Saccharomyces cerevisiae S288C: one gene and its partners. The gene in region 3 interacts genetically with the main gene of each other region. Each region holds a gene or a part of one and is shown on either strand. Other genes may lie near its edges. The genes, in order: CTK1, STB5, CAF40 and CSF1.

The links.
Region 1: mutations in CAF40 (region 3) and CTK1 together harm fitness more than expected from each alone (negative genetic interaction), as found in Saccharomyces cerevisiae (3 studies listed by BioGRID, with this or other methods).
Region 2: mutations in CAF40 (region 3) and STB5 together harm fitness more than expected from each alone (negative genetic interaction), as found in Saccharomyces cerevisiae (2 studies listed by BioGRID).
Region 4: mutations in CAF40 (region 3) and CSF1 together harm fitness less than expected from each alone (positive genetic interaction), as found in Saccharomyces cerevisiae (3 studies listed by BioGRID).

Annotation. Positions count from the first base shown.
Region 1 is NC_001143.9:181,030-185,044, forward strand, and holds CTK1 (cyclin-dependent serine/threonine protein kinase CTK1), read left to right. Parts: upstream 1-1,928; coding exon 1,929-3,515; downstream 3,516-4,015. Other genes in the region: TGL1 (sterol esterase), read left to right, coding at 1-1,396; HSK3 (Hsk3p), read right to left, coding at 3,774-3,983. UniProt on the Saccharomyces cerevisiae protein: Catalytic subunit of the CTDK-I complex, which hyperphosphorylates the C-terminal heptapeptide repeat domain (CTD) of the largest RNA polymerase II subunit.
Region 2 is NC_001140.6:453,040-462,031, forward strand, and holds STB5 (Stb5p), read left to right. Parts: upstream 1-6,259; coding exon 6,260-8,491; downstream 8,492-8,992. Other genes in the region: CTR2 (low-affinity Cu transporter), read left to right, coding at 1-402; YHR175W-A (uncharacterized protein), read left to right, coding at 519-668; FMO1 (N,N-dimethylaniline monooxygenase), read left to right, coding at 1,190-2,488; ROF1 (Rof1p), read left to right, coding at 3,552-4,913. UniProt on the Saccharomyces cerevisiae protein: Binds to SIN3.
Region 3 is NC_001146.8:86,726-94,250, forward strand, and holds CAF40 (CCR4-NOT core subunit CAF40), read left to right. Parts: upstream 1-3,577; coding exon 3,578-4,699; downstream 4,700-7,525. Other genes in the region: RFC3 (replication factor C subunit 3), read left to right, coding at 1-515; PCL1 (Pcl1p), read left to right, coding at 1,172-2,011; SEC21 (coatomer subunit gamma), read left to right, coding at 5,269-7,525. UniProt on the Saccharomyces cerevisiae protein: Acts as a component of the CCR4-NOT core complex, which in the nucleus seems to be a general transcription factor, and in the cytoplasm the major mRNA deadenylase involved in mRNA turnover.
Region 4 is NC_001144.5:310,073-318,999, reverse strand, and holds the start of CSF1 (Csf1p), read left to right. Parts: upstream 1-3,268; coding exon 3,269-8,927. Other genes in the region: alanine transaminase ALT1, read left to right, coding at 1-763; GPI-anchor transamidase subunit GAA1, read right to left, coding at 1,049-2,893. UniProt on the Saccharomyces cerevisiae protein: Tube-forming lipid transport protein which provides phosphatidylethanolamine for glycosylphosphatidylinositol (GPI) anchor synthesis in the endoplasmic reticulum. Required for the glucose and other nutrients uptake at low temperature.

The DNA of each region.
Region 1 (4,015 bases), on a different chromosome or scaffold from region 3:
TGAAGACAATTATATCTTGACACTGCATAGAATCCCACCGATTTCTAAAAACAGATTTAACAATAAAGTGGTATACTTACATCACGGTCTTTTGATGTGTTCTGATGTTTGGTGTTGCAATATTGAAAGACATAAAAACTTACCGTTTGTATTGCATGATTTAGGTTACGACGTCTGGATGGGAAATAATAGAGGTAATAAATATTCAACTGCCCACTTGAACAAACCACCAAAATCGAACAAGTTTTGGGATTTTTCTATCGACGAATTTGCGTTCTTTGACATTCCAAACTCAATTGAATTCATCTTAGATATAACAAAAGTGGACAAGGTCATCTGCATCGGATTCTCTCAAGGCTCTGCTCAAATGTTTGCTGCATTTTCGTTGAGTGAAAAATTGAATCGAAAAGTCTCCCATTTTATAGCCATAGCACCCGCTATGACTCCAAAGGGGTTGCACAACAGAATTGTCGATACCTTGGCCAAATCATCGCCCGGCTTTATGTATCTTTTCTTTGGTAGGAAAATTGTGTTACCTTCAGCTGTCATTTGGCAAAGAACTTTACATCCAACACTTTTCAATTTGTGTATCGATATCGCAAACAAGATACTGTTCAATTGGAAGTCGTTTAACATTCTACCGAGACAAAAGATTGCTTCTTACGCAAAACTTTATTCAACGACCAGTGTAAAATCCATTGTTCACTGGTTCCAAATATTAAGATCTCAGAAATTTCAAATGTTTGAAGAGTCTGATAACATGCTAAATTCCTTAACTAGGCCTTACCAAATTGCTAATTTTCCTACTAGAACAAATATCAAGATTCCCATTCTTTTAATTTATGGTGGCATAGATTCTTTAGTTGATATTGATGTGATGAAAAAAAATCTACCCTTCAACTCCGTCTTTGATGTTAAAGTTGACAATTATGAACACCTGGATTTGATTTGGGGCAAAGATGCCGATACCTTGGTCATTGCTAAAGTCTTGAGGTTTATTGAATTTTTTAACCCTGGTAATGTTTCAGTGAAGACTAACCAGTTACTACCATCAGCAAGTCTGGTTGAGGAATTACCAAGCACGACATGGAAGACAACTCATCCAACGCATGGTCTCAGTTATAGAACTCACTCGGCAGACCGTTCTCCGTTGTCTGTACAAGCTGATGAAGCGGATGAGGTCCACAATGCTGACAATTCAAGGTTCTTAAGACGAGTGTTTTCTACTAGTGCCATAGACGAGGACAACGAAAATGAGCACCAGGATGATACAGAAGATCAAATCCATAAGGAGCAGCAAAGACGGTTAAGTGCCTATCTGGAATCATCCAAAGATTTACGACAACTAGATGCCAACTCTTCGACAACTGCGCTGGATGCTCTAAATAAAGAATGAAAAGAATGCGAGAGAAACCCTATTAAACTATTTTTTGTCTAGGATAATAATATTAGCGCTAATCTAAAAATCGATGAACTAAAGAAAGAATATACGTACGTTTTATACACAATAAATGGATTTCATAAGAAGTCCTTAATATCCTCATGCTTGTGGATACTGGAAATTAGTAAAGTAATTAACTTCCTTTTAGCATTATTCTTATTTGGCTTAAAAAGGTCACGTGAAGCTCTATTTTTTTCGTTTTTTTTTTTCACTGATGGAAGAGAAAAACCTCTACATAATAAGGTAACTTTACATATTGATTGCCAATGAGATGTTAAAAAATGGACGGTTCAGACAGTAAAATACATTTAGAAAAAAAGAGAAGGTCTTATCAGTGTATTTATTCACTGTGCATATTAGCTTTTTTTGGACTTTTTTTGTTCCATTAGTACTTTTAAAAAACCTATTTGTAAATAAAACTAATTCTAGCACTATTCTTTGCACTAGAATAACACAGGGACCATACAGCATAAATTATTTGGTAACAATGTCCTACAATAATGGCAATACTTATTCAAAGAGTTATAGCAGAAATAATAAGAGACCCTTGTTCGGAAAGAGGTCGCCAAATCCTCAGTCCCTAGCGAGACCACCGCCACCAAAGAGAATACGGACTGATAGTGGTTACCAGTCGAATATGGACAATATATCTTCTCATAGGGTAAATTCAAATGACCAACCAGGCCACACGAAAAGTCGTGGTAACAATAATTTATCTCGCTATAACGATACATCCTTTCAAACAAGTTCCAGATATCAAGGTTCAAGATACAACAATAATAATACGTCGTATGAAAATAGGCCTAAAAGCATAAAAAGGGATGAAACAAAGGCTGAATTCCTGTCTCATTTGCCAAAGGGGCCCAAATCTGTTGAGAAATCAAGATATAATAATTCATCCAATACTAGTAATGATATAAAAAATGGCTATCATGCTTCAAAATACTATAACCACAAAGGCCAGGAAGGGCGGTCTGTCATAGCTAAGAAAGTTCCAGTTTCGGTTCTAACGCAGCAAAGGAGCACGTCAGTTTACCTAAGGATAATGCAAGTCGGAGAAGGAACATATGGTAAAGTTTACAAGGCAAAAAACACGAATACAGAGAAGTTAGTAGCGCTGAAAAAATTGAGATTACAAGGAGAGAGGGAAGGCTTTCCCATAACCTCTATACGAGAGATTAAACTACTACAAAGTTTTGATCATCCAAATGTCTCTACTATAAAAGAAATAATGGTCGAATCTCAAAAAACTGTATATATGATATTTGAATATGCTGACAACGACTTAAGTGGATTACTATTAAATAAGGAAGTCCAAATTTCTCACTCACAATGCAAACATCTCTTCAAACAATTGCTATTAGGAATGGAATATTTACATGATAATAAGATTTTACACCGTGATGTTAAAGGCTCAAACATCTTAATCGATAACCAGGGGAATCTAAAAATAACAGATTTTGGACTAGCGAGGAAAATGAATTCGCGAGCTGATTACACTAACCGTGTCATTACGTTGTGGTACAGACCACCAGAACTATTGTTGGGAACTACAAATTATGGAACAGAAGTTGACATGTGGGGTTGTGGCTGCCTCCTGGTGGAATTATTCAATAAAACTGCAATTTTCCAGGGCTCTAATGAATTAGAGCAAATAGAATCAATTTTCAAGATTATGGGAACTCCTACAATAAATAGCTGGCCAACGCTTTACGATATGCCGTGGTTTTTTATGATTATGCCACAGCAAACTACCAAGTATGTCAACAATTTTTCTGAGAAATTTAAAAGCGTTTTACCATCTTCAAAATGTCTGCAATTGGCGATTAATTTGTTATGTTATGATCAGACGAAAAGGTTTAGTGCAACCGAAGCTTTACAAAGCGACTATTTCAAGGAAGAACCAAAGCCTGAACCTTTAGTTCTTGATGGATTGGTAAGTTGCCACGAATATGAAGTCAAATTGGCAAGAAAACAAAAGCGTCCTAACATACTATCCACCAACACAAACAATAAGGGTAATGGTAATAGTAATAATAATAATAATAATAATAATGACGATGATGATAAATAAGGATATATAGCCAATTGAAATAAGTAGACACAAAAAATAGATTAATAACTTATTTATTACGCGATACCCGTAAATATGATACGAACATCTAATTTCATGTGAAGCGGCCTAGTGAATAGAAGGTTTGCCTATTTTCACTCGTTCACTATACGTAACTTGGTTGTCTTTTTATGCAAGCTGTTTGTCCATCGTACCAACACCATCTCATTTCACATCTTATAAATTAGCCTGGCCACTAACTGTCTTACCTCTTATGCCTTATTGCGTTTTTCCAAGCATCTGCTCCATATAATAAATGTAACTACCTATCAACCAACTTCCATGTACCTTACCCAATTGGCCTACCAAGTTTTCGTTACATTGTTTCGACATGATATCTAGTTGTTTTGTCGTTTCCTGTAAATTCGTTTGAAGCTCTCTAAGTTCGTGTGCAAGCTGATTATACTGCCTTTGTTTGTTAGCGTTCATTCTCTTGCCTGAAATTCTTTGTGTCCTCTTCG
Region 2 (8,992 bases), on a different chromosome or scaffold from region 3:
TGTTCGATGAATATGCTATTTTCGTGGTCATACAAGAATACGTGTGTCGTCTTTGAATGGTGGCATATCAAGACCCTGCCTGGACTGATTTTAAGTTGTTTAGCAATTTTTGGTCTAGCCTACCTCTATGAGTACTTAAAGTACTGTGTCCATAAGAGACAATTATCCCAGAGAGTATTGTTACCAAATAGATCTCTGACCAAGATCAACCAAGCCGACAAAGTGTCCAATAGTATTCTATATGGTTTGCAAGTGGGATTCTCATTCATGCTCATGCTTGTATTCATGACTTATAATGGTTGGTTAATGTTAGCTGTCGTGTGTGGGGCAATATGGGGTAATTACAGCTGGTGTACTTCGTATAGTCCTGAGATAGATGACAGCTCCCTCGCCTGCCATTAAGATGGTGACAAATATTACAAATTTGATACTATTTGTATCTATTTTGTTTTTATCCGGGATTTTTCGTATTTCTTCCTCATTCATACCCTTCCCTTTATTTGTTCCCACTGAGTATAATGATAAACTACGTTAACATTACATGTATAATATTTAGCACTCGTACGTTACTAGTCTTTGACACAAGTTTATATATCCCCCCCTTTATGTTATCGTTTATTGGCTACAGCCTCAGTAATCAAAATAGTCCACTATTTCTATATCATTAACTTCTGCGTCGCCAAGATGTTAATCATGAAACGATCTAGTTCTTCAACAGTTTGCCAGCGACCATTCGAGCTAATCTTGAACAAAAGTAATACTATTTAAGGGTGGGCGCGGGTTGTTATACCGTTTTGAGACGATCTACTATAACGTTATATTTAATTATATAAGTGATGAATTTAATGTCCCGTCCACAACACGAAATCGCACCTCATTTCAACGCGGCAAGTATTAATGTTCTGCTTTATGAAAGATTCCATGAACCCTTTTCTACCTTTTAAATTCCTCTTTTCACTCTTAATCACATGATATTACCTTTACATAGGAAGCGCCAGACATCTTTTTGCCGAGAAAAGCCATTATGCAAGATAATCCTGTAGCCTCATATCAAGGATAAATGCCACTGCAAAAACGCAGTCGTTATTTGGGACTGTATTTAAATGGGCCACTGTTTTTATACAAGTCGAAAATACAATAATACAGAAAATTCAAGCAGGAAGCGAGAAATAACAAGAAGTAACTAGGCATGACAGTGAATGACAAAAAAAGATTGGCAATCATAGGTGGGGGGCCAGGAGGGTTGGCAGCTGCAAGAGTTTTCTCGCAAAGTCTTCCAAATTTTGAAATAGAAATATTTGTAAAGGATTACGATATTGGCGGTGTCTGGCATTATCCAGAACAAAAAAGTGATGGGAGGGTCATGTATGACCATTTGGAAACCAATATATCAAAGAAGTTAATGCAGTTTAGCGGCTTTCCCTTCGAGGAAAACGTCCCTTTATATCCGTCTCGAAGAAACATTTGGGAATACTTGAAAGCCTATTACAAAACGTTCATTGCCAACAAAGATGCTATCAGCATCCATTTCAGCACCGAAGTTACCTACTTAAAGAAGAAGAACTCTCAATGGGAGATAACATCTAAAGACGAACTAAGGACTACTAAATCGGATTTTGACTTCGTTATTGTTGCGTCTGGTCACTACAGTGTCCCTAAACTACCAACTAATATCGCAGGTCTCGATCTATGGTTCGACAATAAGGGCGCCTTTCATTCTAAGGATTTCAAAAACTGCGAGTTTGCCCGTGAAAAAGTCGTTATTGTGGTGGGAAACGGCAGTTCCGGCCAAGATATTGCCAACCAACTAACTACCGTTGCAAAGAAAGTATATAATAGTATAAAAGAGCCTGCGAGCAATCAACTGAAGGCCAAGTTAATCGAGACTGTCCAAACAATAGACAGTGCCGATTGGAAAAATCGTTCAGTTACTTTATCTGATGGAAGAGTACTTCAGAATATAGACTACATTATTTTCGCCACAGGCTATTATTACAGCTTTCCATTTATAGAGCCCTCCGTTAGACTGGAAGTGCTAGGTGAGGGTGTTACTGGCGACAAGCACTCGTCTGTCAATCTGCACAATTTGTGGGAGCACATGATCTATGTAAAAGATCCTACGCTGTCCTTTATCTTGACCCCGCAGTTGGTCATCCCGTTCCCGTTGTCGGAACTACAGGCGGCTATTATGGTCGAAGTATTCTGTAAAAGCTTACCGATAACTACAACTTTCGACTCTAATGCCTGCGGAACGCACAACTTCCCAAAGGGAAAGGACCTGGAATACTATGCAGAACTACAGGAACTACTGAATAGCATTCCACGTAGGGTCGGTCATTTCGAACCAGTTGTATGGGATGATAGACTGATCGATCTAAGAAACAGTAGTTATACAGACAAAGAAGAAAGAAATGTGCTTCTAGCGGAACACGCACAAGCCCTAAAGAAAAAAAAAGCACCATACTTCCTTCCGGCGCCACATACTTAACGTAAAAAGGAATGTACTTGTATAGAAAAAACACATATTGTGCCGCTTAATATTTCGTTTCCCTCATGTATATACCTTATCGCTGTTAAAATAAGAAATCTTCACTTCTGCTATCTTTTTTTTTCAAACATTGATTAATAATCCGGCCGTCCGCAGATTGCTTACGCAGAATATACCGTACCGCCACCGTAAAATTAACGAATACTTAAATTTCCGCCTCTTCCGTTTCGGCAATAGCGAACCTTAATGTAAGTTTTTAAAAGGCAGCGCCAAAAATTGCTCTGAAAGGCCTGCAGTGCTTCGCGGCTACGCAGTTCCCATGTAAAAAAAAAAGAAAACTTTCTTTTTGAATCTGGAAAATCCGCACAGGCGCGCCAGCATAAACCTCAGTATCCTGCAAAGGCCATCCTTTTAAAGATCTTAACAACGTATGAATCTGAGGCAGAGAGAAATTAAGCGATAAACGTTCCTTTTAGACTTTCACTTTCTTGGCCGTCATTTAAAAAAAAATTATCTAATAATCTCTAATTTTAAGTTGAAATCACGCTAACATATGACTATGACTATTAACCTTTTTATGTGGAAAAAAAAGGAAGAATATGTTGTAAACGTATTTTAGCCTTGTTCCCGGAACTTTAATCACTCTGGCAACTTTTTAAGTAGTCTGTCTTTTTCTCGGTCGTATATTCCTCAAAATTCAAGAGGAAAGAGGAAGTGAAGAAGAAAGCCTAGAAAAAAAAAATAGGCATTAACACAAAAACGCACCTAAGGGACTGAGGAAAATCAAAAAAATGATAATTGCAGTTAGTAAATCTTCATAATCGACGCCCACTTATTCTTTCTTTATAGTACCGGGTAGGCGGGTAATTCATACGTAGCTGCTGCGGGAGAACTACTATGTATCATTCCCTGTTTATTTGTATGAATTATTATTTAATACGTACATTCTTGTAAGCCCTTCTTCAACAAAACAAACAAATAAAGCGAGAAAAAAGGGAACCACGAATTAAGATAATTAATCAAACAATAGATAGGAAAAGGAGATCGACGAGTAAGCGTAAGAATGATGGATATCAGCCCTACCTGTTATGGGTACATCGACGACGAGCAAGATCTAGCCCTTGTTTTCCAGGGCGTATTCAATGGAAATTTGAGATGCATCGAACGGAGGCCATATGATGCAGAAAAGGTTGAATTAGTCAACCCCGGAAACATTTTTGTTTTCAACGAAGAGAAATCCGGCATCAAAAGATGGACAGATGGTTTTTCTTGGTCTCCTTCAAGAATTTCAGGCAAATTTCTCGTATATAGAGAGTATAATAGGCTGGGTTCCACGCACGATCTACCGCTGCATAATGTACCTGAGTATAATATCTTCGAGAGGGCTCATAGGAAGTATTTTTATACTGGACTACTGAAAAAAACATTTTCTCTAAAATTCAATATGGATCCCACCGACAGCACTAAGCTGGAAACATTTCATCTTATTGCGTACTATACGGAAAAGGATATTCATCAAGGAAGTTTGAGGAGACCTTCAGAAAATCCTTTCTTCCATAAATTTCGACCTTCACAGAAACTATTAGATGCTTTACAAAAAGTTGCTGTAGGAAATGGCAGATCTAACCCGTCTAAAAATAATGAGAGAGGCAGAACCAAAGCTCATAATTATAAAACGCGCAGGTCTTTATCATCTTCTCCGAGCTATTGTGATCTCTTGAGCAATTATAACAACCATCCTGGAAATATTCCAGTTAGGACCGCAGTTCAGTTACCTTTAACCACCTTCAATAACGCTCCTCGAGAAATGCACCAACAGCAGCACCGACAACAGCAACAATATCTCTTACCCATAGATGAACAGAATAAATTACCTCTCCCGTATATGCAGCACCAGCCACAACCAATTGGTGTTTACAATCCTAACTATCAGCCTGGATTGAGACGTACGGTCTCACAACCTATGATTTTCTGCAATACATACAATACTCTCCCGCAACAACCTACTGCAGCACCTTATGAACGGCGTGGCGTGTCGCCTTCAGTGATATACTCCTCCAATACATTGAGCCCAATACCATACCAAAATATCGATCCATACTCTTCGAGGTCGGGTCCTGAATGCAATCACTCTAAGGCGCCTATCGCCCCAACAATGATGCCCCCAGTACACCATATACTTGTGCATGATTACCGACAACCAAAACCAGTCACAGATTCTATTAATCCTCCAAATGTAAACATAACCACCTCCACAACCAACAAGAACCTAGATGGCATTTATATTTTGCCAGCTCCTCGTATGAATCCCCCGGCTCAAACACAATACCAAATGATTCATGCGCCAGACAGCATGCAACATCCACCAACATTTAGTAAAAACAACACATCAAGCAATCCTAAATCCCACCAATACTCAAAGTAGAAGATCAGCATCCTTTCAATTGCTGAAAGGTTCACCTAAAGTACCGCTCATATTCCAAAAGGATTCTTCACTACATAGAAAGGGCAGCCAATTGTGTGTTTTTCAGAAAGGGTTTTAAAAAAACAGGAGGGTGCTTGTTCTTGTTGTTCCCTACCATCGATGGATTTCGAAAAACTATTTATAGGACCATCTGATTTTCACCTCCATCATTGTATCATATACTAACAAGCATATCCAAATTTGTAATTCTATCATGAAATTTCCAGAGAAAGAAACGCAAGGGAACTGAGAAATCAAACCTAAAAACGGTTCTTGGCATTGTTATGAAAAATGAATAAACCAGGGGGGCAAAACAATCGAGAACCCCAATCAAAACCATGTGAGATACCCACTTCGAAAGTTACTGATATTATAACTCTTGTGTCCTCTCTTCTAATACCTTACTTTCACCTTTCTCACGTAGTTAAAGTTGCAACAACACATTTTGTCCTCATCCAATTTCTTCTATAGAATATCCGTTTGCCTCCAGGAGTGAAGAAATGATAGCAGTAACACTGTGAAAGCGAGACTAAGAGAAACGACTTAAAGCTCGAAGACTTCTTGAGGATACGTTTATGTTTCTGTGGCTTCTTCTTCGCGGCGCGGTTCTCGCGTATAGGAATGTTCTAAGACAAGAAGGCATGAAGTTATGTTAACAGATTCTATATCTACTCGCTACGCATATATAAACGGATTCATCATTGAAACAATGGTACTTGTGGTAATGTGTACGACGATTTCAACCCGAATAAAAGCAAAAGTGCAAAAAAAAAACAAGAAGCGCTTAGCACTGTTGAATCATTTAGAACACTACTAATGCTGGTAATACACTCAAGAATGAAGAGTGGCTTACTCCATTGTTGATGCAAAAGTTGTAAATTTCACGAATTATTTAATGCGTTCCTTGCAACCTTCTATTTTGATGAACATCAGGAATTGAAACAAAAAAAAGGCTTCAATCTCAACGGAAAACGGGAAGAAAACTACACTCGATTATACTATATATGCCAAGAAGATTCTCCGACAGATTGTCTACTTAATTTCACATAATATATCTTGTTTTACTAGCTTATTATATAGCGTCGCATTTAATTCATGGCGCCATCACCCGCAGGGAATATAACGACAAGGCCGATACCACGGGAAAAATAGGGCGAGCGGAAATACTAAAAGAAAAATAAGCTTCCGAAATAAAACACCGACAATGAAGTTCTTGGCAAGGTTCGGTTATTTCCTCTACGTAACAAGAGGTATAATATCCGAGCGTACAGGGCTAAAAAATTAATACAAAGGTGTAAAAGAAGGACATGGATGGTCCCAATTTTGCACATCAAGGCGGGAGATCACAACGTACTACTGAATTGTATTCGTGCGCACGATGCAGAAAATTAAAGAAGAAGTGTGGTAAACAAATACCGACATGTGCAAACTGCGATAAAAATGGGGCACACTGTTCATATCCAGGTAGAGCCCCAAGACGTACCAAGAAGGAGTTAGCGGATGCTATGCTACGAGGGGAATATGTTCCAGTGAAAAGGAACAAGAAGGTAGGAAAAAGCCCATTGAGCACTAAGAGCATGCCAAACTCTTCTAGTCCGCTATCCGCAAATGGCGCTATAACTCCCGGGTTTTCGCCTTACGAAAACGATGATGCACATAAGATGAAACAGCTAAAACCGTCAGATCCAATAAATCTTGTCATGGGGGCAAGTCCAAATTCTAGCGAAGGTGTCTCATCGCTAATTTCGGTGCTAACATCGCTGAATGATAATTCTAATCCTTCTTCGCACTTATCCTCTAATGAAAATTCCATGATTCCTTCCCGATCATTGCCAGCTTCCGTGCAGCAAAGTTCGACAACTTCATCATTCGGAGGATATAACACGCCTTCACCACTAATTAGCAGTCATGTGCCTGCGAACGCCCAAGCCGTACCGCTACAAAACAACAATCGCAATACTAGCAACGGGGATAACGGCAGTAATGTTAACCACGATAATAACAATGGCAGTACCAACACACCGCAATTGAGTCTTACCCCATATGCAAACAATTCAGCCCCCAATGGGAAATTCGATTCTGTGCCGGTTGATGCATCCTCGATCGAATTTGAAACTATGTCCTGTTGCTTTAAAGGTGGTAGAACAACATCGTGGGTCAGAGAGGATGGCTCGTTCAAGTCAATTGATAGATCCTTACTGGACAGGTTCATTGCCGCATACTTCAAACACAATCACCGTCTATTTCCCATGATTGATAAAATAGCATTCCTAAATGACGCCGCGACAATTACTGATTTCGAAAGGTTATATGACAACAAAAACTACCCTGACAGCTTTGTTTTCAAAGTATACATGATCATGGCTATTGGTTGTACAACTTTACAGCGTGCTGGTATGGTTTCTCAGGACGAAGAGTGTCTGAGTGAACATTTGGCTTTTTTGGCCATGAAAAAATTTCGTAGTGTTATAATTTTACAAGATATCGAAACTGTACGATGCCTATTGTTGTTGGGTATTTATTCGTTTTTTGAGCCAAAGGGCTCCTCGTCATGGACAATTAGTGGTATCATCATGCGATTGACCATAGGATTAGGTTTAAATAGAGAGTTAACTGCCAAAAAACTCAAGAGCATGTCTGCTTTAGAAGCAGAGGCAAGATATAGAGTGTTTTGGAGTGCTTACTGCTTTGAAAGGCTAGTATGCACCTCGTTGGGCCGTATATCCGGGATCGACGACGAAGACATCACTGTGCCACTACCGAGGGCGTTGTATGTGGATGAAAGAGACGATTTAGAGATGACCAAGTTGATGATATCATTAAGGAAAATGGGCGGTCGCATTTATAAACAAGTCCACTCTGTAAGTGCAGGGCGACAAAAGTTAACCATCGAACAAAAGCAGGAAATCATAAGTGGATTACGCAAGGAGCTAGACGAAATTTATTCTCGAGAATCAGAAAGAAGGAAACTGAAAAAATCTCAAATGGATCAGGTGGAGAGGGAGAACAATTCTACTACAAATGTAATATCCTTCCATAGTTCTGAGATTTGGCTAGCAATGAGATACTCCCAGTTGCAAATCTTACTATACAGACCATCTGCATTGATGCCAAAACCGCCCATTGACTCACTATCCACTCTAGGAGAGTTTTGCTTGCAAGCCTGGAAACATACTTATACACTGTACAAGAAGCGGTTATTACCCTTGAACTGGATAACCCTTTTCAGAACATTAACCATTTGTAACACTATCTTATACTGTCTTTGCCAGTGGAGCATCGACCTCATTGAAAGTAAAATCGAAATTCAACAGTGTGTGGAAATACTAAGACATTTCGGTGAAAGATGGATTTTTGCTATGAGATGCGCGGATGTTTTCCAAAACATTAGCAACACAATTCTCGATATTAGTTTAAGCCATGGTAAAGTTCCTAATATGGACCAATTAACAAGAGAGTTATTTGGCGCCAGCGATTCATATCAAGACATATTAGACGAAAACAATGTTGACGTCTCTTGGGTTGATAAACTTGTATGACATATGTTCACCGAGTTTTGTCATGTCGTCATACTATACGGCAGCGGCTTGTTGCTGCCGTTTAATGAAACAGTTTTTTTCACGACAAGATTCTTCTATTGATTATTCACATATGTATTTTAATGAAAAATGAGTACTTTATAACACAACCCTAATGACAAATGAAAAAGTTGATTGCCATGAACTCTTAAAGCGATTTATGAGAACAATTAATTGATTATATATATATATCTTTGCAATTATGTCGTTTGTTGCAAGATGCTTCTGAAAGTAAGTAACTCTATAAGATAGATAATGCTACAAGACGCCAAACGCAAGTGAGTAAGAAATAAGAGCTGGCAGGTCTTCGCCGGAACACTATCATCAAAATCACTACAATTTAGCGGCTTAGCACAATACGCGTTTTCAACTTCCTACGCTAGCGATGACAAAATGTCTCCAAGAGGCGGAACTTGCGACGGATGCATGGAAATATCTTACGTAATGAACTTCCGTAATGAA
Region 3 (7,525 bases):
CCCAAGAGGCCATTGAGCGTCGGATAGCCAACGTCTTGGTGCATGAGAAGCTGAAGTTGTCTCCTAATGCGGAGAAGGCCTTAATAGAACTTTCTAATGGGGATATGAGACGTGTGTTAAACGTTTTGCAGTCTTGCAAAGCTACTTTAGACAATCCCGACGAGGATGAGATCAGTGACGACGTTATCTATGAATGCTGTGGGGCACCCAGACCAAGTGACTTAAAGGCAGTATTGAAGTCGATACTGGAGGACGATTGGGGTACCGCCCACTACACACTTAATAAGGTACGCAGTGCCAAGGGTCTCGCGTTGATCGACCTAATCGAGGGCATAGTGAAGATACTGGAAGACTACGAACTTCAAAATGAGGAAACAAGAGTGCATTTGCTTACCAAACTGGCCGATATAGAGTACTCGATATCCAAGGGTGGCAACGACCAGATTCAGGGCAGCGCGGTCATTGGCGCCATCAAGGCCAGCTTCGAGAACGAAACTGTTAAAGCCAACGTATAATCGACGCAAATATGTATAGATACAATATGTACAGAACAACTGCATTGTGCAATATAACAACATAACACAACGCCCAGAACGAAATAAAAAAAATAAAAGAAATAGATGAAAGCATTTTCAATTTGCATACCGGAAACCGTAAATCAATTGGCGTCTAGCTAACAACTGAGAATGCGAATCGCCAAATTGTTACAGAAAGTAGCATTCCGTTACGTGATCTGTACTTTAACCTCTTGGACGTAAAGAATGGCAGAACTCTGGCTCTAGTGTTCTGCGAATGCCAGATCGGGAAATATTTCCCAAAAGGGCAACAGCGGCACGAACAAGAATTTCGTGTTAAAAATCGCGTCCGGCGCGAAATTTTTCGCGGAGGCATGCGACGCAAAAGCGACTCGAAATGTCGGGAGCCAAATGAGGCTACAAGGCTGTGGGCAGATTTTGGCGTTATTATGGAGAATAAAAGGAATGGTAGCTTCCATATAGCGATAGGAAAACATATATAAGGTCAATAGGCCTACATGGTAATGGGATTGATAAGCTTGTCCTTAACTCTTGTGTCTTGGAATTACTATTGCGTACATCAGCAATCATCCATTGTCAAGAACAAAAACGATAACAAAAACAATCAATTATACAAATAACAGTAAAGTAATAAAATGTGTGAATACAGCAAGGCTCTTCATATTCTGCTCAAGTCGCCAGTAACGGATGACATAATAAAATTCTTAACAGACACAACATTGAGGGTTGTTCCTTCAAGCAACTACCCCACGCCTCCCGGTTCTCCAGGAGAGAAACACCTCACAAGGCTGCCATCGCTAATGACTTTTATCACTAGATTGGTCAGATACACCAACGTCTACACACCCACTCTGCTCACCGCTGCGTGCTATTTGAACAAATTAAAGCGTATTCTGCCCAGGGACGCTACTGGTCTCCCCTCGACCATCCATCGCATTTTCTTGGCCTGTTTGATACTGAGTGCTAAGTTTCACAATGACTCTTCTCCTTTAAACAAGCACTGGGCTAGGTACACCGATGGTCTCTTTACACTAGAGGATATCAACCTTATGGAAAGGCAGTTGTTACAGCTGTTGAACTGGGACCTCAGGGTGAACACAGAAGATTTGATCCTAGATCTGCAGCCTCTATTAGAGCCCATCAAGCAAGACTTGGCAAGATCCAGCGACCAAAGGAAGAGAATTAACATGATGATGTCCATGAACAGAAGGACTTGTGCTGGCACGAGTCCTATCAGATCAAACAACAGATTCAAACTCTACGAAAAACAGAGAAACGTGTCGATAGCATCCGATTTAAGTTCTGCTACTCTAGTCGACAGTTGTAATGATCTAAGAAGGCTAAAAGATGTAACCAACATAGCGAACAACACAGTCGCTAACACGAATTACGTCAGGACGGTAGAGAAATGGAACGACAATGTCAACAGGCAAAGTTGGGATCTGGAACAGATCATGAGTCAACATGGGTTTTAATGTGGTAAACAAGATGGCCCTTACGGGGCTCTTAGTGGGAGAAAGATTTTTAATAGAGCATAATTAACGGATACATAATATATTATAAATTTAAATAATCAAGGATACCTAATAATAATAACAATCAACTGAACACAACATTAAAAATGGTATTTGTTATTGTATGTTAAGCCCTAAGTGATTGTGCCGTTATAACTTCCATTCGGGTGATACCTGCAATATGAGGAAGAAAAAAGATAAATTTTTTCTTCTTAAAGTATAAAAGGCGGACATATTTGATTTAAATGCAGAAGTTTTCTCTCAGTGGTTTATGTTTTACATATGATAGAAAAAATGAAGCAATAGCAAAGTATCGTAGTGCGAACCGGTCTCGTAACTTTGATAAGTTTATCAAAGGCGTTAACATTTTGTTTCGTAATAGTACCTTAACACATGACGAAGATGAAAATTAAACATGAATTCAAGGAAAAATGGTAAATGACGAGAAAAAAGCTGTGCACCAGTCTGAACATGGATGCCACAAGTACTCAGGTGTCCTATGAAGCATTAAGTATACCCAAATTTCTGATCCATTTTCCTTTATTTTCTTTTTTTTTTTTCTCTCACATCTGTGACTGTATTATGAGCAAACTGTTTACGTTGAACGGAATCGATATGTAAATTAAATCTTTTGAAATATGTAGGACAGTGCTTGTATAGGTCTGTTAAGTAGATTATAGAATGTACGCCTTTTTTCTGGGCGTGAAATAGATCAGAAATCCTGTTAGGTTGCCACTGGTCCATTTCAGTGTTGCTCATCCAATCAATCATGTATTTACATGCCTGGAGTGGCCTATTCTATGTATTAACAGCCTTTGCAAGACGCGACATTGTTCTTTCCGATATGGCTCGGAGTAGACTAAATATGCTACTTATAGTTTTTCTTGCGTATACCATTGTCTTATAGTTTTTGCACACATTAATGTTTAAAATTGAAACTACGAAGCAAAACAATAAAAAAAACAAACAAAACTTAAAAATAAACAAAAGACGCTCGAAACCAAGTGCATTTATTGAATGTTTTTGGGAATGCAAGTAGCAATACTATTGTAAAAGTACTACTATTTCCCTGTATCATACGCTTTTACTACTATTCCTCACATAAAGCGAGATGCTTACAGAATGCATAAGAGAGAGAAGAAAACCCTATTACGCCCACTTGTCTATATTAGATTACTGTCCCTATTTATATCATCATTGCAAAACGTGAGCACCTCATTAGACGTAGATTCTTGCATAAGTATTACTAGCAGGAGAGGAAAAACTCCACCCACACACCTCAACATGCTGAGAATTTTGCTGCGAGCAGCAAGAGGCAAAATCCAAATTTAAAGTAATTTACGCATAGAAGACATTGTAAAGGGATTGCAAAGACGTAGAGTACGCAAGTTAGAAACCGTTCATCTTTTAAAACTCCCAAGTTTTGACAAATTTGCGAGTGTGTGTGTTTCTGCTGATCTTGACGAGATTAAACTTTGTTCCTGAAGCAACAACGACAGCAACTGAACATCCTCTGAATAAGTTAATATGTTTTCCGCTCAAAAGCCAATATATGGCAATGGAGCAGGCGTGAACATGGGTGGTGGTGGTCCTTCAACTAATAATCCAGGATCTATGTCCATGCCTGGGGTTCCAACTTCAATGGGTCCAGGCATGAATCAACAAATTCCAAGTGGAGGCCCCATGCTAATGGGCAATACTCCGAATAATAATAATAGCAATGAAAATGGCGAGAACAACGGCAATAACGGCAATAACGGCGGTAACGATGCTAACGCAACTCGAAACAATCCCAACATGGTCAATAATAGAGGCGCAGTGCATGCTCTAGATGATCCCAATGTATACCACTGGATTTGTCAATTGACCTACGGCCCTCAAAAGGAACAAGCACTGCTTGAATTAGGTCGCAAAAGAGAACAGTTTGATGACCTTGCCGTTGTGCTTTGGTCTTCCTTTGGTGTAATGACCTCATTGCTGAACGAAATCATTTCCGTATATCCCATGCTGCAACCTCAGATGCTCTCTAACAATCTATCAAATCGTGTATGCAACGCTCTAGTTCTTCTACAGTGTGTTGCATCTCACCCAGAGACAAAACATCTCTTTTTACAGGCCCATATTCCTCTCTTTCTTTTCCCCTTCCTAAATACTACCTCCAGGCAAAGAACTTTTGAGTACTTGAGATTGACTTCATTAGGTGTGATAGGCGCATTGGTCAAAAATGACTCACAAGACGTAATAACGTTTTTGCTAAGAACCGATATCGTGCCGTTATGCCTAAGGATCATGGAATCTTCTTCTGAGCTTTCCAAGACAGTCGCCATTTTCATTTTACAGAAAATCCTACTAGATGACGTTGGATTGCAATACATCTGTGCCACCTTGGAAAGGTTCTACGCCGTAACTAATGTCTTAAAAGATATGGTTGAGCACTTGACCGTGAGCACACCACCGGGACGACTACTGAAACATATCATTAGATGCTACTTAAGATTAAGCGACGATCTCGAAGCACGCAGGCTATTGAAAATAGTCTTACCTGCCAAACTGAGAGATAACACTTTTACGGAAGTACTAAGAGACGACGTCGGGTCCAAGAGATGTCTGGCACAATTGCTACTGACATTAAACGAAGAAACCTCATGATGCATCCCCATAGATATATTACTGTTTTTCTCTTTCTATTTTCCTGTATTGTTTTAACCTTGCCTTTTTGTTTTAGTTTCACTTCCTCACCTCTCCTAATTTTGTATAGTTATATTTATATGCATGAAATGTATAAAGTCCACTCATATTTCAGAATGGTTTAAGTTAAGTGCCAGAAGGTTCTTCTGTACTATTACTATTACCCATTTTTCATCCTATCACCCGGAATGTACCCCTTGTGTCATTCACTACGACGCCACGAACCACGATTCTATTTTTTTCGAAATCTAAAGGTTTCGTCAAGATCAATGAAATATACATAGGCGTTTTTTTGGATACGAGTTGCATTGTTGAGAACACAATTCTTTACAAATAAGTGCAAGGGAGGAATTGTGTGTGCTCATTACCAACGTACTTCTTCAGTTATTCTGCTAAACCCGTTTTTTTGTTCTTAGCTTCATCCAGGTGAGCCCGCAAACATTACAGAACGACGTATAATACAAAATAACTAAACAAATACGGATAGGACAAAAGCCAAGAAGCGATACTAAATCACAGAGCGAATCAACATGTCTGCACATACTTACAAAAAGTTTGAAAACTCGACCTCGGGCGATTTACCTGATAAAATGACCATTTATCAGGATTGTATGAACACGTTTAACGAATCACCTGTCAATTCCAAGAGATGTCGTTTATTGATTTCTCGCTTGCTGAGACTCTTGGCCCAGGGCGAAACCTTCCCACAGAATGAAGCAACTGCATTATTTTTCTCTATCTCCAAATTATTTCAACACCAGAACGATCCTTTAAGGCAGGCTGTTTATTTGGCAATCAAGGAATTGAGTGGCATTTCGGAGGATGTGTTGATGGCAACCTCTTCAATCATGAAGGACGTTCAAAACGGTTCCGATTTGATTAAGCCTGACGCTATTAGATCGCTGACTTATGTCTTGGATGAATCTACTGCTTTTTCCGCTGAAAGGTTATTAAAAAGTGCCGTGGTAAGTAGACATCCTTCAATATCCTCAGCAGCATTATGTACTTCTTATCATTTGCTGCCCATTTCAGAAGTCACTATCAGAAGATTCACCAATGAAACTCAAGAAGCTGTTTTGGATTTGAAACAATTTCCAAATCAACACGGTAATAGCGAATATTATCCAAACTCCACTTATATTTCTCAATATCATGCTCTTGGGTTGCTTTATCAACTGAAGAAAACTGATAAAATGGCGTTACTAAAATTGGTTAGACATTTCTCTGAAAACAATTCTATGAAAAATCAATTGGCCAAGGTAGAATTGGTCAAGATTGTCAACGATTTGATTTATAGGGATCCTCAATTATTTAGTCAATTCAGGCCACTTTTGTCTGATTGGCTATCCAACAAGTTCGAATCTGTTCAGTTGGAAACGGCGAAATTGATTACTTCTTTCGCTACTCGCAATTCCCGCTTAGTGGCTCCCGAGTTATATGCGGCAGCTATCAGTGCTTTACAGTCCTTACTGACCGTTCCTCGTGTTTCTTCTAGATTCGCTGCATTGAGAATCTTAAATAGAATATCCATGGTTTCACCAGAAAAGATTGTTGTTTGTAATCCTGAACTAGAATCTTTAATTAATGATTCTAATAGAAACATTTCTACTTATGCAATCACCACTTTATTGAAGACAGGAACTTCCAAAAATATTTCATCTCTGATTTCGACTATTACTAATTTTATCCATGATGTCAGTGATGACTTTAAGATCATTATTATTGACGCCGTTCGTACGTTGTCTTTGAACTTCCCACAGGAATGGAAGTCAATTTTGAACTTCTTAATCGATGTTTTGAAAAATAGTGAAGGTGGATTCAAATTTAAAAACAGTATTGTCGAAGCATTAATCGATATTGTTTCATTTGTTCCACAGTCTAAAGAACTCGCCTTAGAAAACTTGTGTGATTTCATCGAGGATTGTGAATTCAACGAAATACTAGTGAGAATACTACATCTTTTGGGTAAAGAAGGTCCATCTGCCCCAAATCCATCATTATATGTTAGACATATTTATAACAGAGTGGTGTTGGAAAATTCTATTATTAGATCTGCTGCCGTTGTAGCTTTATCTAAGTTTGCTTTGACGAAGAACGATCCTACCTTATATGAGTCAATCATAAGTTTGTTAAAGAGAATCGCTAATGATAAAGACGATGAAGTCAGAGACAGAGCCACCATTGCACTAGAATTCATTGATTCGGCTAGGAATAAAGATGATGTTATAGCACAAAATCTAATCGAATCCAAATATTTTTACGATATTCCATCATTAGAGTCAAAATTAAGTTCTTACATTTCCTCAAATACTGATTCATTTGCAACTGCATTTGATGTGAATCAAGTTCGTAAGTTTACTGAGGATGAAATGAAGGCAATAAATCTGAAGAGAAAGCAAGAACAAATTTTCAATCAAAAGTCTGAAACCACTTTGGATACTACACCAGAGGCAGAGAGTGTTCCAGAAAAAAGAGCTGACGCTAATTCATTTGCTGGTCCAAACTTGGACGACCACCAAGAAGATCTACTAGCTACTAAGTACGCTGACGAATTGCTATCCATTGAACAAATTAAACCATTTGGTCAATTAGTAAATAGTTCTAGGGCTATCTCATTAACTGAGCCAGAAGCAGAATTCGTTGTACGTGGTGTCAAACATCTCTTCAAAGACAATGTTGTTTTACAATTTAATATTACGAATACTCTGACGGATATTGCCCTAGACAATGTTTCTGTAGTCTGTACCCCTGAAATTTCTGATGAAGCTGAATTAGAAGAGCTATTCA
Region 4 (8,927 bases), on a different chromosome or scaffold from region 3:
TAATCCTACAGGAGCTGTCCTATCACCTGAGTCTATAGCTCAGATTTTTGAAGTCGCAGCCAAGTACGGTACAGTAGTGATAGCTGACGAAGTTTATCAAGAAAATATCTTCCCGGGCACCAAGTTCCATTCTATGAAGAAAATTTTGAGACATTTACAGAGGGAACATCCAGGTAAATTCGATAATGTTCAGCTAGCTTCTTTGCATTCGACTTCTAAGGGTGTTTCTGGTGAATGTGGTCAAAGGGGTGGCTACATGGAACTCACTGGATTCAGCCATGAGATGAGACAAGTTATCTTGAAACTAGCCTCGATTTCATTGTGTCCCGTTGTCACAGGTCAAGCTTTGGTTGATTTGATGGTTCGTCCACCAGTGGAAGGGGAGGAATCATTCGAGTCGGACCAAGCAGAACGTAACTCCATCCATGAAAAGTTAATTACAAGAGCAATGACACTGTATGAGACATTTAACTCTTTAGAAGGCATTGAATGTCAAAAGCCTCAAGGTGCCATGTATTTATTCCCTAAGATAGACTTACCTTTCAAGGCAGTTCAAGAAGCTCGCCACTTAGAGTTAACTCCGGATGAATTTTATTGTAAGAAGTTGTTAGAATCTACTGGCATTTGCACTGTTCCCGGTTCTGGGTTTGGTCAAGAACCTGGTACTTACCATTTAAGAACAACATTTTTGGCACCTGGTCTGGAATGGATTAAGAAATGGGAAAGTTTCCATAAAGAATTTTTTGACCAATACCGTGACTGAATAAAAGGGGGCAGAACAGTCTTCAATAAACATTTAAATAGCTAGTTTATTATAATAATGTGATCGTTTCTTTCTTCCACAACTCACATATAGTTATTTGATATTATCGCATCTTCGCTTCTCTATGCCATGTTTCCATCAATACTTATGTTTTATTTAATACATATTTGTATCAGTATATCATATCATTTCATCTTCTTTTGCTTCGATTTGTAATGTTTGTGCGTATAAAATCAATTGCGTAGTTCGAACACCCGTTAATCCTTTACTTCTTACCAATGGCACCTAACTTTGCTTTTCTTTCGACCTTACTACGACAGATTTAGATTCAAACGATGACGCTAATATCAATAGCCAACATGGAAGCCAACCTATACAAAGTACAAACCAACTCCAACATTTCAAATCCAACCATGCTGAAACCAGTTTGTTTATTATATCAAATCCATGAAATTCATCATCAAAAAATAGTCCGAATAAGGTTATTGAAATAAATGGATTTGTCAAAATTAATAGTACTAAATTTTTTAGTTTTTGTTTCTGTTGTTGGGGGGTTGCTGGCGTTGTATCCATGTGATTCTCGACGAGCTCTATCTCATCTTTCGGCTCAGTTTTTATTGGGTTAGAGGATTGAGTTGTCACCTCATGTTCGCTAGAACTTTCAACAATGGTCTTCACAAATGTCATAGGAAATGCCAATGTGCCGATCAGTAAAGCCATTGCAAAGTTTATCATTAGCAAAGATGTTGAAACCAAACTGAAATATAAAAAAGCAACATTTTTCAACCTGTATGATAGTGGTTCTGAGATGTGAATTTTTCTGGAAAGTATCAAAGGTAAAAAACAAGATGCCATGCTAATTGTCATCAATAATCCCGATGAAGGTATTAGAAGAAACGCTTGTGAAACAACAAATGATATCACCAATGACACGAACCAAACCAACAACGCTACCAAATTATACTCGGAAAATAAGGATATATTTGCATAAGCATTGTTTATAAATGCATTTAATGAACTTATGGCGAATGCTATAGATAAAGCCACAGCGCTTGGCAAATAACTACTAATGGATACGAACTGACGTGGTGCTAATAACAAATAAAAGAAGAACGATTGGTGAAATTTTTCCAAAAGGTTATTAATAGAGCGAAACATTGCTTCGGGTATACGTCCAAATGTAGTAATATCATGACCACTGTTTCCATGTGCTTTCAATGTTACAGATTGAATCCTCCAGCCGCTAAATGCCTCGTTACCATGGGGCTTTTTAACACCGGACAACGCCCAATCCCTTATTCCCAGGCATAATATTTTTAATCTTGACCAGAAATTATTATTAGTTAACTGATCACTGGGTAGACCGTGCAAAGAAACTTTCATACCTTCATGTTCCGTAATGGATATAGCGATGTTGACAAGATCCAAATTGGGCAGCTCACCATTCAGACCGTCGTATGAGATTTCTACATACTCGAAGAAATCTTCCGTACTCGAATAATCCAACACAACAGCAGCTTCAATGGAACCACCAGTCAAATCTAAGGAAGTATGGTATGCCTCAACCCATGATCTTAATGCTGCACGAGGATTTTCGCTGAAGACAACAATTATATTCTTGGACCATACTGGCCAACGTGAGAAAAATCTTGCTAAAGATACACCCAAAGCTGCGCCGCCAATATTGAATTCATCATCTGAATTAAACCATGGAACGGCAAGCACCATCGCTTCTGTTCCATCACCCCTAGGAGCGTGCATTACACCGTACAATGTTTCTCCATATTGTTCATTTTCGTAAATAGCAGTCTTAGTACCAAATTCTTGTAACCAAGAACCCATCAAATTGTTTCTTTCCATAGAAGTCATGTTTACCATTTCTTTAATTTGAGATCGATAGCCCCTCAAAATGTTCCATTCAGATTCTCTAAAGTAACTATACGCTTGTGAAGGCATCAATGCATTCTCAGAAATGTATGTTCTTCTGTACTGTCCATCCATAGGCAGAATAGCTATAGAAATAAACCCAAATAGAGCGCATAGCATGGAAATAACTGGTAATAAGGCGATTATACGCGGGACAAGCCCCATATCAACAATCCTTCGATGCAACTTCTCCAATAAGGCCATTCTTGGTGTATTATACGCGTCTTTGGTCTGTCAAGTCCTTTTATAAGACAGCAAATGTCATTTCTTTCTAAGTGTAGCCGGCGTGTATTGTTTATGACTTTTTTTTCTACCGCTGGCATTAAAGTGAGAGGTTCACGATGCGTTCCCAATAACTTCGTAGGGATGGCGATCAATATACAAATAGAGGGAAGCCAAACTCCCCACTATAAAGCTGTTGGCACGGTTTTATAAGCTTCAACCTTTCTAGGCTACAGGATACTCAAAAAAAATTACTGCGGTATTATCAACATAGTGCTCTTTGGAAAAAAAAAAAGAATAGTACTCATTAAAGCCACCTGACTCAAGTCTTCTATTGACGGTAATAAGTTAGCAAGCATGGAAGCTATTTCACAATTACGTGGTGTTCCATTGACACACCAAAAGGACTTTAGCTGGGTCTTTTTAGTAGATTGGATTCTCACGGTAGTAGTATGTTTGACAATGATATTCTACATGGGAAGAATCTATGCATACCTTGTAAGTTTTATATTAGAATGGCTACTATGGAAACGAGCGAAAATCAAGATAAATGTTGAGACACTTCGTGTCTCCTTACTAGGTGGTCGAATACATTTTAAAAACCTTTCCGTAATACACAAAGATTATACAATTTCGGTATTAGAGGGTAGTTTAACATGGAAATACTGGCTTTTAAATTGCAGAAAAGCAGAATTGATAGAGAATAACAAGTCTTCTTCTGGCAAAAAAGCAAAGCTTCCCTGTAAAATTTCCGTAGAATGTGAAGGTCTAGAAATTTTTATTTACAACAGAACAGTGGCGTACGATAATGTTATAAACTTACTATCAAAAGATGAACGCGATAAATTTGAAAAATACCTTAATGAGCATTCTTTTCCTGAACCTTTTAGCGATGGAAGTAGTGCTGATAAATTAGATGAAGATCTAAGCGAATCTGCATACACAACGAACTCTGATGCATCAATTGTTAATGACAGGGACTACCAAGAAACAGATATCGGCAAACATCCAAAGCTACTGATGTTTTTACCAATTGAGCTTAAATTTAGCCGCGGTTCCCTACTGTTAGGAAACAAATTCACGCCATCTGTTATGATTCTAAGTTATGAAAGTGGAAAAGGCATAATAGATGTTTTACCTCCAAAAGAGCGATTAGATTTATACAGAAATAAAACACAGATGGAATTCAAAAACTTCGAAATTTCTATCAAACAAAATATTGGTTACGATGATGCTATTGGATTGAAGTTTAAAATAGATAGAGGGAAAGTGTCAAAGTTATGGAAAACGTTTGTACGAGTCTTTCAGATAGTAACCAAGCCTGTTGTACCGAAAAAGACTAAAAAAAGCGCAGGCACATCAGATGACAATTTCTATCATAAATGGAAAGGTTTATCTCTTTATAAGGCTTCTGCGGGCGACGCTAAAGCAAGTGATTTAGATGATGTTGAGTTCGATTTGACGAACCATGAATATGCTAAATTTACATCAATTTTAAAATGCCCAAAGGTCACAATTGCATATGACGTGGATGTTCCGGGCGTTGTGCCACATGGTGCACATCCGACAATACCTGATATTGATGGACCAGATGTGGGCAATAACGGAGCACCTCCAGATTTTGCTTTAGATGTTCAAATTCACGGAGGATCCATCTGTTACGGACCTTGGGCTCAAAGACAAGTCAGTCATCTACAAAGAGTTCTATCACCGGTAGTTTCAAGGACAGCCAAACCTATAAAAAAACTCCCGCCAGGTTCTAGAAGAATATATACACTTTTCAGGATGAATATATCAATAATGGAAGATACTACTTGGCGTATACCGACGAGGGAAAGTAGCAAAGACCCCGAATTTTTGAAACACTACAAAGAAACTAATGAAGAATATAGGCCATTTGGATGGATGGATCTCCGATTTTGTAAGGACACCTATGCAAATTTCAATATAAGTGTTTGTCCTACAGTGCAAGGTTTTCAGAATAATTTCCATGTTCATTTCCTGGAAACCGAAATTAGGTCAAGTGTTAATCACGATATTTTGTTAAAAAGCAAGGTATTCGATATTGATGGGGATATTGGATATCCATTGGGTTGGAATAGCAAAGCTATATGGATAATTAACATGAAGTCAGAACAATTAGAGGCGTTTCTGCTACGTGAGCATATAACTTTAGTTGCAGATACGCTTTCAGACTTTTCCGCTGGTGATCCTACGCCTTACGAACTTTTTAGACCATTCGTATACAAAGTCAATTGGGAAATGGAAGGATATTCCATTTACTTAAACGTCAATGATCACAATATTGTTAACAATCCGTTAGATTTTAACGAAAACTGTTATTTATCCCTTCATGGTGATAAGCTTTCAATTGATGTCACGGTACCCCGTGAGAGTATTTTGGGGACATACACAGATATGTCCTACGAGATCTCAACTCCAATGTTCAGAATGATGTTAAATACCCCCCCTTGGAATACATTGAACGAATTCATGAAACATAAAGAAGTGGGGAGAGCATACGACTTTACAATTAAAGGTTCTTACCTTCTCTATTCCGAGTTAGATATTGATAATGTCGATACGCTAGTCATAGAGTGTAACAGCAAGAGTACAGTACTTCACTGCTATGGGTTTGTCATGAGGTATTTAACAAACGTAAAGATGAATTACTTCGGTGAATTTTTTAATTTTGTGACGTCAGAAGAGTACACAGGTGTCCTTGGCGCTAGGGAAGTCGGAGATGTCACTACGAAAAGCTCGGTGGCAGATTTGGCATCTACTGTAGATTCAGGGTACCAAAATAGCAGTCTAAAGAACGAATCTGAGGATAAAGGTCCTATGAAAAGGTCAGATTTGAAAAGGACTACCAACGAAACTGATATTTGGTTCACATTTTCGGTTTGGGATGGTGCTCTGATATTACCAGAAACGATTTACAGTTTTGATCCATGCATTGCACTACATTTTGCCGAACTTGTAGTGGATTTCAGAAGTTGTAATTATTATATGGACATAATGGCGGTTCTCAACGGGACTTCAATAAAGCGGCACGTTTCAAAACAAATAAATGAAGTATTTGATTTTATACGTCGTAATAACGGAGCTGATGAGCAAGAGCACGGATTGCTTTCGGACCTCACCATTCATGGACATAGAATGTATGGATTACCACCCACAGAACCTACCTACTTTTGTCAATGGGATATCAATCTCGGAGATTTATGCATTGATTCAGATATTGAATTTATAAAGGGATTCTTTAATTCCTTTTATAAGATAGGTTTTGGCTACAATGACTTGGAAAATATATTATTATATGACACTGAGACCATTAATGATATGACCTCGCTAACCGTGCACGTTGAAAAAATAAGAATAGGCCTTAAAGATCCGGTGATGAAATCTCAATCAGTTATTAGTGCTGAATCGATATTGTTTACTTTGATCGACTTTGAAAACGAAAAATATTCACAAAGAATAGACGTGAAAATTCCAAAATTGACAATTTCGTTAAATTGCGTGATGGGCGATGGCGTAGACACATCATTTCTCAAATTCGAAACAAAATTAAGATTTACAAACTTTGAGCAATACAAGGATATCGATAAAAAAAGATCAGAACAACGCAGATATATAACAATACACGATTCACCCTATCATAGGTGTCCTTTTCTTCTTCCGCTGTTCTATCAGGATTCGGATACATACCAAAACCTGTACGGGGCTATAGCACCATCTTCGTCTATCCCAACTTTACCTCTTCCCACTTTGCCTGATACTATAGATTATATCATTGAAGATATTGTGGGCGAGTATGCTACCCTTCTGGAGACCACAAATCCATTCAAGAACATATTCGCAGAAACTCCATCAACTATGGAGCCTTCAAGAGCCAGCTTCAGTGAAGATGATAATGACGAAGAAGCGGACCCTTCAAGCTTCAAACCTGTCGCTTTTACAGAAGACAGAAACCACGAAAGGGATAACTATGTTGTTGATGTTTCATATATTCTGTTGGATGTCGACCCGTTGCTTTTTATTTTCGCTAAGAGTTTATTAGAACAGCTTTACTCTGAAAACATGGTACAAGTCTTAGACGATATTGAAATTGGGATTGTGAAACGATTAAGCAACCTTCAAGAAGGGATCACTTCTATTTCAAACATTGATATCCATATTGCTTATCTAAATTTAATCTGGCAAGAGACAGGTGAGGAAGGTTTTGAGCTCTATTTAGATCGTATTGATTATCAAATGAGTGAAAAGTCTCTAGAGAAGAACCGAACAAATAAATTATTAGAAGTAGCAGCTTTAGCAAAGGTAAAAACTGTCAGAGTGACTGTTAACCAGAAGAAAAATCCAGACTTGTCTGAAGATCGTCCCCCTGCACTGTCGCTAGGGATTGAGGGTTTCGAAGTATGGTCTTCTACAGAAGATAGACAAGTTAACTCATTAAACTTAACGTCATCAGATATTACCATAGACGAATCTCAAATGGAATGGCTGTTTGAGTACTGTAGTGACCAGGGAAATCTTATTCAAGAGGTTTGCACTTCTTTTAATTCTATTCAGAACACCAGAAGTAATTCAAAGACAGAACTCATTTCAAAGCTCACAGCCGCAAGCGAATATTATCAAATTAGTCATGATCCTTACGTCATAACAAAACCTGCTTTTATTATGAGACTTTCCAAAGGGCATGTGCGTGAGAATCGTAGTTGGAAAATTATTACGCGTCTGAGACACATTTTAACGTACCTTCCTGATGATTGGCAAAGCAACATCGACGAAGTGCTAAAAGAAAAGAAATATACCTCTGCTAAAGATGCAAAAAATATCTTCATGTCTGTGTTTTCGACTTGGAGAAATTGGGAGTTCTCAGATGTTGCAAGGTCGTATATATACGGCAAATTATTCACGGCAGAAAATGAGAAACATAAACAAAATTTGATTAAAAAATTGTTGAAGTGTACCATGGGATCATTTTACCTTACTGTTTATGGTGAGGGATATGAGGTTGAGCATAATTTTGTTGTTGCGGATGCCAATCTGGTAGTGGATTTGACGCCTCCGGTGACAAGCTTACCTTCAAATCGAGAAGAAACTATTGAAATTACGGGAAGAGTAGGCTCAGTAAAAGGAAAATTCAGTGATAGGTTACTTAAATTGCAAGATCTTATTCCACTCATTGCAGCAGTGGGCGAAGATGACAAAAGTGATCCAAAAAAGGAGTTATCAAAGCAATTCAAAATGAACACCGTTTTATTAGTGGATAAAAGTGAACTGCAACTGGTCATGGACCAAACGAAGCTGATGAGTAGAACAGTTGGGGGTAGAGTTAGTTTACTATGGGAAAATCTAAAAGATTCAACTAGTCAAGCGGGTTCATTGGTTATATTTTCCCAGAAATCGGAAGTGTGGTTAAAACACACATCTGTCATTTTGGGAGAAGCTCAACTGCGCGACTTTTCAGTTTTAGCGACTACTGAGGCATGGTCACACAAGCCTACGATTCTGATAAACAACCAGTGCGCAGATCTTCATTTTAGAGCAATGAGTTCAACTGAGCAATTAGTAACCGCTATTACTGAAATTAGGGAAAGTCTGATGATGATTAAAGAGCGCATAAAGTTTAAACCTAAATCAAAGAAAAAGTCCCAATTTGTCGACCAGAAAATTAATACAGTCTTGTCATGTTATTTTTCAAACGTTAGTTCTGAAGTTATGCCGCTCTCGCCATTTTATATTCGTCACGAAGCCAAGCAGCTTGATATATATTTTAACAAATTCGGTTCAAATGAGATTTTGTTAAGCATATGGGATACTGATTTTTTCATGACATCGCACCAGACAAAGGAGCAATACCTAAGGTTTTCATTTGGCGATATTGAAATTAAAGGAGGAATTTCTAGAGAAGGCTATTCGTTGATAAACGTTGACATCTCAATATCTATGATTAAGTTAACCTTTTCGGAGCCGCGCCGTATTGTAAACAGTTTTTTACAAGATGAAA